3 linked regions of the Oryctolagus cuniculus genome follow. The protein of the gene in region 2 binds, or shares a complex with, the protein of the main gene of each other region. Links are inferred from orthologs where the notes say so. Each region holds a gene or a part of one and is shown on either strand. Other genes may lie near its edges.

What was found. Proteins that work in one complex are often made in the same cells at the same time.
Region 1: DNAAF10 (region 2) and UXT share a complex: the UniProt entries of both Homo sapiens proteins name them as parts of the PAQosome complex. The link is inferred for Oryctolagus cuniculus from reciprocal best matches to the Homo sapiens genes DNAAF10 and UXT.
Region 3: DNAAF10 (region 2) and ASDURF share a complex: the UniProt entries of both Homo sapiens proteins name them as parts of the PAQosome complex. The link is inferred for Oryctolagus cuniculus from reciprocal best matches to the Homo sapiens genes DNAAF10 and ASDURF.

What each region holds. Positions count from the first base shown.
Region 1 is NC_091453.1:33,164,301-33,169,006, forward strand, and holds the start of UXT (protein UXT), read right to left. Parts: upstream 3,217-4,706; 5' UTR 3,189-3,216; exon of another isoform or gene 3,012-3,188; 5' UTR 3,003-3,011; coding exon 2,905-3,002; intron 1,983-2,904; coding exon 1,901-1,982; intron 1,728-1,900; coding exon 1,660-1,727; intron 1,388-1,659; coding exon 1,280-1,387; intron 1-1,279. UniProt on the Homo sapiens protein: Involved in gene transcription regulation. Acts in concert with the corepressor URI1 to regulate androgen receptor AR-mediated transcription. Together with URI1, associates with chromatin to the NKX3-1 promoter region.
Region 2 is NC_091433.1:134,467,119-134,471,331, reverse strand, and holds part of DNAAF10 (dynein axonemal assembly factor 10), read right to left. Parts: intron 3,329-4,213; coding exon 3,198-3,328; intron 192-3,197; coding exon 90-191; intron 1-89. UniProt on the Homo sapiens protein: Key assembly factor specifically required for the stability of axonemal dynein heavy chains in cytoplasm.
Region 3 is NC_091434.1:50,691,337-50,696,301, reverse strand, and holds the start of ASDURF (ASNSD1 upstream open reading frame protein), read left to right. Parts: upstream 1-1,749; 5' UTR 1,750-1,947; coding exon 1,948-2,037; intron 2,038-3,492; coding exon 3,493-3,546; intron 3,547-4,575; coding exon 4,576-4,651; intron 4,652-4,965.

The sequences.
Region 1 (4,706 bases), on a different chromosome or scaffold from region 2:
TTCAAACCCAATTGTCCTTCCTTATTCAACAACTTAAAACTCAAATGGAGCCCACCCTTTCTCTCCCCATCACCACCAACATAGATCTGTTCCATTCACTGCTTCAGTAATTCATTCAACAAACACAGAGGGTCTGCTACCTGCTGGGTAGTATTCTAATCACCTGAGGTCTAGACAAAGTTTCTCCCTTTGTAAAGCTTACATCCTAACTGGAGGAGATGATATGTATGAGTAAGAAATAAATTACACAGTAAATATTAGCAAGTGACAAATGCTAGGTAGAAAAGAAAAAAGAACAAGAGAGGGGAATCAAAGACTACTAGGGGTTGCAATTATATAGTTAGGTTATGAAAGACTTTGTTGAGGAAAACACATTTAAGCAGGACAATGGAGTGAGGAGAAAAGAAGCCACAGGAGTACTGGGGAAAGAGCACTGCAAGCAGAGAAAACAGCCATGGCATCTGCCCTGAGGTGAGAGCATTCTTGGGACATTTAAAGCAGCATGTGCAAGTCACTGTGGCAAGAGCACAGCAATGAGCAGGAAAATGAACATGTTAAATTAGAGGTAACCTGTTTTACTGTTACTGATTTACAGGCTGAGGCCTCATGGATCCGGTCATAGTTGTATTTAGGTCTAATAATACAGTCCCTCTAGAATGTAAGCTCTCAAGAAACTCTTCTGTCTTGTTCCCTGGGGCATCTCCACTGTCAAGCACAGAGTGTGGTAAACAGAAGATGCCCAATATGTTTGTGTGAATGAATGATACAAAGCTCCCTTACTGGAGTGTTTATTATGTGCTATACCTGGGGCTGAACTTTGCATCCCCTTTCCTCAGCTACAGCCCAGAGGAGGAACGGAGGTAGGTCTCTAACTTAAGGGAGAAGAGTGTTGAAAATGGTGGGGTGTTGGGGCCAATGCAATGGCACAGGTCAATCCTCCACCTGTGGCGCCGGCATCTTATATAGGCACCAGTTCTAGTCCCGGTTGCTCCACTTCCAATCCAGCTCTCTGCTATAGCCTGGGAAAGCAATAGAAGATGGCCCAAGTGCTTGGGCCCCTGCACCCACGTGGGAGACCTGGAAGAAGCACCTGGTTTCTGGCTTTGGATCTGCGCAGCTCCAGCAGTTGCAGCCATCTGGGGAGTGAACCAACAGAAGGAAGACCTTTCTCCCTATCTCTCCCTCTCACTGTCTGTAACTCTACTTCTCAAATAAAATAAATAAATTCTTTAAAAAAATGGTGGGGTGTTTTAGATACTACCTTCAAGAATGCACTTACTGTGTGAGGAGTGAGCTCTTACGATCAATGAACTTGAGAGCTTCTGCCAGTGTTAATTCCAGGAAAAAACCATATCCCAGGGCCACATAGATGCGTGAAGTATCTGAGCTGAGGAGAGAGAGGTTAGAGGAAGTGGAAGACATCCTTATTACTGTTTATCATACCATACAGTTTAGTTAATTTTTTACTCCCTCCCCTTCCCCAAATTGAGACTCTGGGAAGACAGGGACTTTATTCTATTTTATTTCTTGTCATATTCCCAGTACTTAGGTTATGTCCTAAGGTATGTAAAATCTAGCACAGTGTTTGGTACATAGAAGATGGTAAAAAAAAAATATCTTGCATGAAGGAAGGGCTCAGAAGGGCGGGTAGACACTCACACCACTGTGTCAACGAAGAAGTTACAGCCCAAATCCACCTGCATATATAACTCCGATTGCTTAGCTTCCTGTGGGGCCAGGGAAAAAGAGGTAGGGGTCAGTGGTCAATTTGTAGGTCAGGTGACAGGTTTTGGTCTAGGGTCTCTCTTCTCAGTTCCTTCCCATGCTCCCCCCATCACACACATACCAAAACCAAATGAAAAAAAAAAAAAAAAACAGTACCCAACCATGATATATCTACCTGGAGTCGTTCAATGACATTTCTTAGCTGAAGGTATTTGGCCAGCTGCTCATATACCTTGTCTCGATGGTCCAGCACCTTTCTGATGGGACAAAAGTACAAATGGTGACCAACAGGCAGCTTTGTCCTCCTTGGGAAACCTTATACCATGATTCTTTGAGGTGCTCCAGTTACCATGCTCTAAGTAGGCCTTTTAGTGTAGAAGTTAAAATTCTGGACACTGGGTCAGACTGCCTGGGTTTGAATCTGGGTTCTACCCTTTGCTAGTGGTGTGACTTCACTAAGTAAACTGTTCTATATGCAGTTTTCTCATCTACAAAATAGGAGTGGCATTCTAACCTCACGGAGGCACTGGGATTAAATGAATGTTTACTATAAGACACTTAGAATGATGTCTTCCAAATGATAAGCTTTATATACGTGTTAGCTCTTACTATTATTACACTTTACTCCCAAATGTCAATCTCTATGTCTCATCTTCACCCTAGAAAAATCCTCCACCCCTTTCGGGATGCTCATAGTCTAAGCCTTACTTCCTGCTCAGATTAGTAATAATAGCTTTTCACATTCCTTGAACCTTTAACATATTTCAGGCATCACACTTTTTTAAACTCAACCACTGCATGAATAAGGTTCCGTAATAAACTTCCTCATTTTACTGATTTGAGAAATTTATAAGGCACAGAAAGGAGGGGCAAGGTGCGATGTTTACACGGATGGCAGGTAGCCGAGCCAGAACTCAAACCCCAGAACTGTGGATCTGGAATTTGGCCCTTAATCCATTAAGCAACATCGGGACCGCGCATGCGCAGACACGCCCTATGAACGCCACGTCCTAGCCAAATCGCACCCCGGAAGTCGCTCCTCCTTTCCCCTTCGAATGGCGCGTGGTGACGGGCTCCGAACGTCTCGCCCACCAATCTGAAGGCTTGGCCCCCGACTTTAAACGCCCCACCCACCACGTGGACTATTCTGAAGGCCCCGCCCCTCTCGCTGTCACTCACCGCAAGTCCCGCTGCAGCACGTCACTGATGAAGGCCTCATAGCGCAGAACTTTCTCTCCCGTGGCCTCAACCACCCGCCCTTTAGGGGGCGTCTCCATTATGGGCTCCTGGGGAATGAGCAGAGGGAAGACCACGTTGACCACTTCAGTATGGACTCATGCAGGTCATCTCCACCCTCTCAACGTTGGGAAATGGGCACGTTCGGGTCCTGCTGGGGGTTCCGCCTTCTGCCCTTCCCAACTCTAGGACTCGGCCACCCAGGGATACCAAAATGCGGCCCTTACCTGAGGGCCGCCGGCGATAAGAACGGGTTGGTATAACCGCGGCTTCCGGGTGGCGCGGGTGAATGACGTATAACAAGCGCGCTGACCAACCAAATAAGCAGGTGGGGAGGGGCGGTCCTGAAAGGAAGTAAGACCCGCCAAGGGGAAAAAGAGAAGGTCAGGGCTTTACTGAATCAAAGGAGATCAGGTAGGACTGTAGGGCGTGGGAGCAGAGATCCTTTGGCAATGAACTAGCCTATTGGAAACTGCACAAGCAGCGCGTGGAGCCTGTGGGGACTGTTCGCGGCTTTTGTGGATTTGGCGGTTTCCAGGGGAGGTAGAACGCACAGGTGGAGGTAGAGCTAGGGAATGAAGCGTTTAGTATTTAAAAGGCAGAGCCTGGGAGGCGGACAGGCAAGTCACATCTTGACTTCACCCGAGAGGTTCGCGTTTCACTCCCGGTGATGGGAACGAGTATGAGCATTTAAAAACTTTTTAATGGAGACGCATTTTTCTAGAATTCCTCTTTGAGGATTGCAGCTCTGTGGCCCACAATCTATGACTGGAGCTAAGCAGAGATTGGCAATACTATGTGTAAGCATCTCATTTTATTAGTCAAATGGAGGGTCCCTGAGTCGTTTGCAAAAGATCTGCTATTTTGTACTTAGGAATAATCCCGTGTGTTTAATTAAATGGGCAAGCTTTTTCTTTGTATGCACTCAAGTGATTGAATGCCTGTATTTTGCATCTTTAGCATCTAACCCAGCAAGTCCTGGCCTGAGCCCAGAGGAGAATTCAGATGCTCGCACCCCCAAATGCTATTCCCATATCTAGAGCCTAGAGTCCTTACCCTTACTTGTGAAGTCTTCCCAAGTAATTTGCGTGTAAAAGTTCGGTTGTCCTTTCCAAATTCTCAAACCTGTTTGTTAAGCTTTTCTTTGCCTTCAGGAAAAAGTGACTGTAAAAGGAACATTGAGTTTTTTTGTTTTTTTTTTTTTTTGTTTTGTTTTGTTTTGTTTTGACATGAGAGTTCTTTTAAAAGTTTGTGGGAAAATAGAATTAAACCGTGGTTAAGTCCCTGCTTGGAACACTAGCATCACATGTTGGTGGAGTGCCTGGTTCGAGTCCCAGCTCCTTCACTTTGGATCCAGGTTTCTGATAATGCATACCCTGGGAGGCAGCAGATGATGACTGACATAGTTGGGTCCCGTAAAATATGTAAGAGACTCAGATGAAGTTCTGGACTCCTTATTTCAGCCTGGCCTAGTCCTTGCTTTTGCCAGCATTTGGGGAGTATCCCAGAGGATAGAAGATCACTCTGTCTGACTTTCAAATAAAATGAAAATAAATAAATAACGTAAAGAAAAATAAGATTGGTTTGGTTCAAAATTTTTGAAATCCATTTATAATTTCTTCATAGTGTGCAATTTCCATGAACTTTTTGAAGACTCCGTGTATGCATGGCTTTCAAAAGTTTTTCGCACCAGAATAAATTTACATTTTAATTCGTTTCCATAAACTTTCTGAAGTACCCTCATA
Region 2 (4,213 bases):
AGCTTGTCCAGAGACGATCAGGAATCTTCTGAGGCTGTGGACCTTTCACCATCTGATCCTTAAAACCCAAGCGTTGCTCAGTAACTCACCAAACGCCACAGTCCAGCAGTCTCTCTTGTGTTCCCCTTGTACAGGCTCCATGTTAGCAACAGGGTCATCTTTCTGCCTCGGGTCCCACACCTTCACAGTTCCTGTCATGGATAAAAGTAAGGTGGCAAAATGCATTCGGGAATGGTCATGTTTCTTTCCCACATTCTCTTCCTATGGCCCCCTGTGTACATGGCAACAGTACAGATGTTTATGACGTCTGAAAAATATTCTAGTTTCTCCAACTTCTAATTAGTTTGAAGTATGTATTTGATATCAAAGATATGACTCCTATGTTACTGTCTGACTTGATTGCCAAATTAATGGACACACAGAAAAGCAACAGCTGTTCCTAGGTTATCTACAAGCTATTGATCAGGCAAACACAAATGTCACATAATTCAAATCATGCCCTCTGTTCTTTGAGCCTAAAACAAACTAATGTATTATTTAGAATTATACTGGTGTCATTTTAAAATTTTTTCCTTACTATCTGTGTAATCACTGATGCTTTTTAAAATTTTATTTTTTAAAGGTCAGTTTTGATTTGAAGGGGAGGTGGGGGGTAGAGATAGCTGGAAAGATGGATGGATGGATTGATAATCTTGCCAGGCCAAACCCAGGAACCAGGAACTCCACTAGGATCTCCCAAATGGGCGGCAGGGCCCGAAGAGCCATCCTCTGCACAGTAACAGGAAGGCAGGCATCCTCTGCACAGTAACAGGGAGGCAGGCGTCCTCTGCACAGTAACAGGGAGGCAGGCGTCCTCTGCACAGTAACAGGGAGGTGGATCCAGAGCCGGGCAGCAGGGACTCGAGCTGGCCCTCCAGTGTGGGATGGCAGAATTGCAGGCAGCAGCTTAGCTTGCTGTGCCACAACCTTTCTTACACAAGGCTCCAACGTTTCTTACACAAATGAGTATACTCTAATGTTTACTCTATGGTTTCTATATGGGGTTTTAGAGTATTACTTCATGTAATACTCTATAGAGTACTATCCTAATATTATTTTAATAGAGAATTACTTCATGTGGGAGACCAGGAGGAAGCACCTGGCTCCTGGCTTTGGATCTCATATGGGTGCTGATTCTAGTCCTGGCTGCTCCTCTTCCCATCCAGCTCTCTGCTATGGCCTAGGAAAGCAGTCGAAAATGGCCCAGGTCCTTGGTCCCTGCACCCACGTGGGAGACCCGGAAGACGCTCCTGGCTTCTGGCTTCGGATTGGCACAGCTCTGGCCATTGCAGCCATCTAGGGAGTGAACCAACAGATGGAAGACTTCTGTCTCTACCTTTCTCTGTAACTTTCAAATAAATAAAATAAAATAAAATAAAAATAAATAAATAAAAATAAAATAAAAGGCTGCCTTAAGAAGAAAAACATTTCTCACAAATGTTAACAAGAGGTTATCTTACACTGTAAGGTTTATACAAATTGATAAGATGTACAGTAAGTGTCCAATAGCTAAATGAACAAAGAATATAAACAGACAACTCACAAGCCAAAACCAACTAACAAACAAAGACAAAAGTTAATACAAGTTAGAATGGAGTACTGTTTTATCTATAAAATTATGGGAAAAAAGGAAATCAATGCTACTAGGGGAGGTTGGAAATCTACTTCATGTATTGTACCTGACAACGTCACAGATACTTTGGAAAGTCTAACACTAAATTTTAAGAACCATAAAATGTTTATTCCAAAAGAGTTACATAAATGACAACAATCATTTCTTCATTACTTTTAAACCAGTCTCACAAAACAATAAACTTAAAGTACACTGAATGCTTACCAACAGTGGCATGGGTAAGCACATTGACACAGTCATATAATGGAATATTATAGTTCTTAAAATAATACGAAAACTGGAAACAGCAGGATTTATACATGACAAAACATTAAATCAAAAAGGATATGAAATTATATTCATACTGCTAAATATACAAAATGGTATATAAAACTGGAAAGGCAAATAAAAATCTAATGGTTGGGGCAGTGTGATAAATTCAGTATTATTTTGCCTTCTATGTTCCATATTGCTTTTATGATTGGAAGAACAACTGATTTTCTTTTTAAAGATTTATTTTCTTTCTAAAGATTTATTTTCTTTATTTGAAAGGCAGAGTTACCAAGAGAGGGAGGAGAGAGAAAAAGAGAGGGGTCTTCCATCAGTTGGTTCATTCCTCAAATGGCCACAACGGTCAGGGCTGGGCCAGTCCAAAGCCAGGAACCAGGAACTTCTTCTGGGTCTCCCATGTGGGTGCAGGGACCCAAGCATTTGGGTCATCTTCCACTGCTTTTCCAGGTGCATCACAGGGAGCTGGATCAGAAGTGGAGCAGCCAGGTCTCAAATCAGAGCCCATATGGGATGCCAGCATTGCAGGCAGTGGCTTAACCTGCTATGCTACAGTCCCCGTCCAGAACAACTGATTTCTAAAACACAACTGCTGTTAACTATTTTAAAATGATATATTTATATTTTAAATCAGTTTCCTCATGGTCTTGAATAGTTGTTAAAAAACTAGTCCAACCAAGGTACCGAGTCTCTCGTGCATCCCTCACGAAGCCATACAAACTGCGATTTGGTCACAGTCATTCCAACCAGTACTGGCCACAGCAGATGAAAAAGGCCAGGAGTGCCCTCTATCACGCCCAGTGCGGGGAGCTCGGAGCGCCCTTGGAGGGCTCTACCACACCCAGCACGGGGAGCTCGGAGCCTCAGTTTCCAACCAGCTGTCAATATGACAATTTTCACAAGTACTAATTCTGCTTTTTAAAAAAAGAAAATGAAAAGCTGCCACCCACATTATATCGTCAGCTGCCTCAAAAACCTGTAAAGACATTTTAAATCCTTCAAGGTTCAGAGCAAACTACCATTGTTAGTTGAACTAACTTGGTACTAAAATAGTGCGTGCTATATGCCTCTATCTCAAAATGCCCCAAAGTCTGAAACGACTGAGGGATACGCCATCCAAATTGCCTATGAAAAGAGCAGAGGCAAAACTGTTGATGTCATGGTCAAGGCAATGTGGTAGGGACGGGGAGGGGATTGCCATATGGACAGCAGGCTGCACAGAGACTTCGTTTTAGACGCACAGACTACATCGACTCACCATCTCGACTGCCAGTCACAATTTCAGGGGCTCCTTCGCCGACTCCCAGTCCACCCACCCCATCAATGGTGTTGATGATTTCTTTATGGCCCTTTACCGAATACACTGGCACCTCTGGGGCTTCCAAATTCCTAGACAACAAACACAGCCTCTTACTTACACAAACCTTCAATTCCACTAATAAAATATAAGAACACACATCATACCCGGATTTTTGTTTAAAAATAAAGGTTCTGCCACAAAGGTAACTTACATACTTCTAAATTTTTCTTTCCACTTAAGTGTCTTTTAAGTGCCCAGTGAGAACTGTGATTATTAAGCTTGGAACTCACATGCCTGAGCCCATTTTACCTACTGCTCTTCAGAGAGGATCTATCTAGGACTTCCGCGTCGGAACCACCAGGTGGGCTTGTTAATAACTTCAGGTTCACAGGCTTGTCCCTAGACATAATCAGTCAGGATCTCTAGGATGGTCCCCAGGCTGCTGACTAGCTGGTTCCCTGAAGTTTGATAACCAGTGCTTCAAACAAGGAGTGCATCCAAAGTGATTTAGGCTGTTTCCAAAGTAGGCCTGGGTGGCTTGACCTTGAACCCCTTTTGAAGGATATGAGTACTATCTATGTTGTACATGTTTCTTCCTTCACTGTGCATTATTATTTTCTTATTGATTTTCCAGATTGACACAGTATGAATTTCAACGTCTCATCATACTGCTTACAACGAATACAACAGCAGGCCAGGCTGACCTTTGCCTACTTCATAGTTCAGTGAGAGGCATTCAGGAAAGGTGTTCAGCCTGTCTGCTTGCTTCTACACTGCAGGGGAAGGTGATGAGCACTTGGCCAGGCTGCACTCATCCATACCTTTCTTGCCTCCCGGTGTTTCCTTCCTATTTCAATTTTCTATGGGAGCCTATTATTCACATTTCCCACAGTCAGTCAGATTCCAAAACTTATACATCTTTTTAAAAAGAGTGTGATTACTCATGAAATGTGATCCCAATGTATTATTAGGCC
Region 3 (4,965 bases), on a different chromosome or scaffold from region 2:
TTTATTAATAAGCATATGGTGAAATCGTATGGCACCCCAAATTCCGGTAGCACATGTGGCACCCCAGATAGCACTTCCGGGGAACTTTAAAGGGCTACATTTTTGTGTAGATTTTAGGGGGTCATGTCCGATTTCAGCTCCACTTCCAATCCAGCTCTCTGCTATGGCCTGGAAGACAGTAGAAGATGGCCCAAGTCCTTGGGCCCCTGCACCCGCATGGGCGACCTAGAAGAAGCTCCTGGCTCCTGGCTTCAGATCGGCACAGCTATGTCTGTCGCAGTCATGTCATGTGGGGAGTGAACCAGCGGGTGGAAGACCTCTCTCTCGCTCTCTCTCATTCTCTCCACCCCCTGCCTCTCTGTAATTCTGCCTTTCAAATAAATAAATAAATCTTTATAAAAAATACCCATTCTATGGCAAATAAAAACAGGGGCCTGCGCCGTGGCTCACTTGGTTAATCCTCTGCCTCGCAGCGCCGGCATCCCATATGGACACCAGATTCTGTCCCAGTTGCTCCTCTTCCAGTCCAGCTCTCTGCTGTGGCCTGGGAGGGCAGTGGAGGATGGCCCAAGTGCTTGGGCTCCTGCACCCTCATGGGAGACCAGGAAGAAGGCTCCTGGCTTCGGATTGGCACACCACCGGCCATGGTGGCCATTTGGGGAGTTAACCAACAGAAGAAGGACCTTTTCTCTGTCTCTCTCACTGTCTATAATTCTACCTGTCAAAGAAATTAAAAAAAAATAAAGAAGCCTGTTCTAAATTTCAGATAGACAGATACATGGAGAAACATAAAAATTTACCAGTCCAGACCTCATATAACTTTTCTTACTAGAAGACCCGATGAAAGATATGCTAGGGCTTAAAAAAAGCCACCAAGTACATCTATTAAGTCACACAATTTGTCTACATCTCATAAGTGCACTTAAGCATCTCCATAGAACATCGTGATTCCCAACACTGGAATATAATTTTCAAATATGTGGTCTCATATGCAAATATAAAATAAACACATATCATGGTTTTATTTAACTCATTAGTAAATGAGGAAACCAGTCAGATATGAAAATCAATTCAAAGAGCATTTGAAAAGCAAGGAATTTATCAGTCAAGAAATGTCAGACAGGACCTCAGTGTTACATACATAACTGATTAATGTCTTCCAGATAATAAATCATAACCTTGGAAGTATCTTATTGACCTAGTAGAAATTATTAGCATTTTTACCAGTCAAAAATCCACACGTTTGCCTCTGCTTTTGTCCCCTGCCTGCACCAGGTTGTAAAACAGTTCAGTTCATTGAAAGTCAATCCTAGAACAGCACTGAAAGAACATCAGGTAATCTCTTGCCTATTTCCAACTTTTGGTCATTTTTTTTTTTGCAAGAATGAGACATTACAAATATTGCATAGGATGTACACTAATAAAAGTATTCATTCACCTGAAATTCGTATAAAATTGTATTTAGCTGAAAACCCTAGTTACAAATTAACAAAAACTTTTCCAATTCTGTAGGGTTCGGTTGCCAACATTGTGTCTATGAAATCTGTGCTTTAGTTCAGGATCTGACTGGTTAATAACTAATTGGTGTTTCTACTGCGCGTCTGTTCTTTATTTGCACCAATAGGGGGCGCGTGTAACTTGTAGTCCAAGAGCCCACAAAAGTGTTTCTACCTCCGATCCGCTGGGGGTCGGCGTATGAATTGCTTAGATTTCGCAACCGGGCTCGAAACACTGGCGCTCTAGGCATTTGTGCGCATGCGTAGAACCGCTCTTGGCGAGGGGGCGGGGGCGTCAGGCCCGGACTGCGCAGGCGTTGGAGTGAGCGCGCGGAGGAGGTTGGTGAGACCTCTGCAAGGCAGGTGACGCTGCCGGCGCTGTGGCTGGGGCGGTCGGTGGTGGGACTCTCGGGAGCTCTGGTGAATCCTGCGTGTCTGCGGCTGGTTGGAGATGCCCGGCCGGGGCGTGCACCCGGAGGACAGCGCTGTGCCGGTCCCCGCCGGCGGCCGGACCTTACACAAGGAGGATCTTTGCAACAAGGTGGGCGTGGGACGCAGCGAGCAGGCCTCCCGGGCTTAGGACCCGGCGCCTGGGGCAACCCAGAGAGGGCCGGCCGCGAGCAGCGCGGGGCTTCGCTGGAGACGGCCTCGGCTTGCGCTGCTCTGCTGTTGGTAGCAGTCGGCACTTCCCCTTCCCTGGAAGTAGTCGCGCTAAGCGTCTTGTGGGCTGAGTTTCCGCGGCCCTTCCAGATCTGTAGCTCACCCCTTCCGTTACCCCTGCCAGCGGCATGGGCTCATCCTTGACGTCGGTCTACACCTGAAACCCACTTCCGGTACGAGTGTGACTTTAGTCCCGAGGACGCACGCTCCTGCGTCCCTGAACGAGCCGCCCTCATCGGCTGCCCCGGACCCCCGCAAAGGGCTCCCTAGCCCACCTGCTGCCTTCTCTGTTCCCCGCTGTAGCCGCAGTGGCCGCCCTAAACCTCGCACATCTGATTGTCACTCATCTGCGGAGAAAGAGGGGGAGGGGAGCCACTCTGATACTGACCTGAACTGCCGGAAACAGGTGCAACCTTTAAACGTGTGGAGGAGGGAGTTCAATGTCCTGCATTCTTCACTGGTTCTGCTCCAAGCTAGTAGTGGTGTCTTGGACAGACCTCTCTGTTCTCTCTGCATCACAGCTTCCTTCTTTGGTGGGAAGTGAAATACAGACCTGACATCCCTAAACTGCACAAGAAAGCACTGTGGTACAAGCGTTAAGTCTCAAAGAGGGGGAGGGTATAGTTTCAACCTTGGAAGTCAGCCTTATCCTGTCCCTTCTGCAGCTGTGTCAGCTCTGGAGACAACAAGGGGGAGACTCATGGGGCAGGGAGTGAATTTGCAAAATACAGCCCACTCTGCTGCCGACCTATGGCAGATCCCTCAAGTGTGTGGTGCAGTGTAAAAATCTTACATCTGGTTTTAGAGGCGCTGGTGATGTTAGGTAATAGATCGTGTTCATAAAATAGCCAGTTACTAGAAAGTATCAGAAAGTTTGCACTTACTTGAGTTCTCTCCTGAAATTGAAAAGTGAAGCCAGCACTGTGCAAAGAAGATTGATGCCAAGACAGGGGGATTTAGAACTACTTGGTTAAAAGGACTGTCTAGCCGCACCATTTAGTACACAAATCGTCAGAGACTGGTATTACTTCTGGTGCATATCGTCTGTTTGTATAGGCCTTGTTCAGTAACTGTGGCCACAGGCATGAAGGCCGGTTGCCAACATCAAACCCACTGGCTGGGCTCCGTGGGTTGTGTGACATTTAGATGTCTAATGCCCATTTCCCCCTCCACCTGTGCACACATAGACTGGAAAGAATCTTCTCAGACTGCCCATTTGGACAATCAGCGCATGATACCTTCTTACGCCATCTGCCTAATTTTAAAGCCGTCATCTAATTGAACATGTTTTTAAGAGTTAAAATTCTGTTTTAAGCGTTTCTCTTTATTTCAGTAGATTAAAGAACAAAAAGTCGTTGTGGATGAACTTTCTAACCTGAAGAAGAACAGGGTGAGTTATAGAAATTCTGAATAGTATGTGGGAAGCTTGGTTATATTTATATTATATAAAATCATAAAAGTTGTATGGAAGGTTTATATAAAGGTTGACAAGTTTTCGGCATCTCTTTAAATTGCAAAAGCCCAGTGCCTACGTTTATTTTAAACTGTACGTACATAGATCTCATAAAGCTGAAGATGTCTCTTCCTTTTCATATGCCATTTACACGACCTTTAAAGCTAATGACGCAGATTGGATTTTGGTATCTTCAAGCTGTACCACTAATGTAACTATTTTATGCTTGAATTTGGTGTGTATTTTTGAAATAAATGAACTTAAAGTTTATTGAGAAGAAACTATCCCTTAAAGTAAATGTTGAACAAAAAATTACTTCTCTCACCGCCCCCCCAAAATCTTCTCAGTGCTTAGCATTATTTTTAAATGCAATTTCTGTGTATATATTCATAAGCAAGCCATCTTTGTTGCTTCATGTGTAGTTATACATTAAACTACATTAAAATTACATTTTAATGTTCAGGAGTAAATGACTTTGAGCTCTTTCAAGCGCCTAAAGATTATAACTGACAGATTAGACATTTCTGATATTGTTGCCAGCTACAAAGATGTCCATCACAACACTGATCTATAATACTTGAGGGACAGTAATACCTTAAATGTCTAACATTTGAGGATTGAGCAAATAAATGTAGTATGTCATACGATGATATTATAAAGGAATACATATTGATAAGAAAAAGTGTTCTTGATATAGTCATTGTAAAACTATAGATGATAGTAGAAGCCTTTTTTATTAAAATAACAGTGGTATTATGGTTTACAAGGGAAAAAAACAAGTTTCACCTCACTGGTAATGATAATAGTGTCTGGGTGGCAGGATGGTTGGTAACTTTTATTTGTCTCTTTGTTATCTGTATTTACTAAAGTAAATTCCCAAAGTTTACAAGTATGTAGTAGTAGGATTCAAAGATTTGACATCTTTTTAGATCATATCTTGAGTTTGGCCTAAATTCTGTTTTGCAGAGAGTATACAGGCAACAGCAGAACAGCAATATATTCTTCCTGGCAGACCGCACAGAGATGCTCTCTGAAAGCAAGAGTAAGTTGGGTTCCTCTTTGTTTTCAGACTTTACATGAGGGGTGGGGAACATCAGCCCCTTGGCTGCATAAGGCCCACCAACTCATTTGGTCTGGTCCTGCCAAGGCAACTGTAAGTGAACTCGAAATCTGATAAATCTATAGCAGGCTGATTTTTAAGATGATGGTTTTGTGTGGCCCACAAATGAAGTTATAAATGTCCAAATGGCCCTTGGCAGAATAAAAGTTCCCCGGCCATGTCTTACATGGGAAGACACAAAAAGTCCTTTTTTGACTCATAGTTGTGCCTCAGTTGTACTGTCTATATCTGAATGT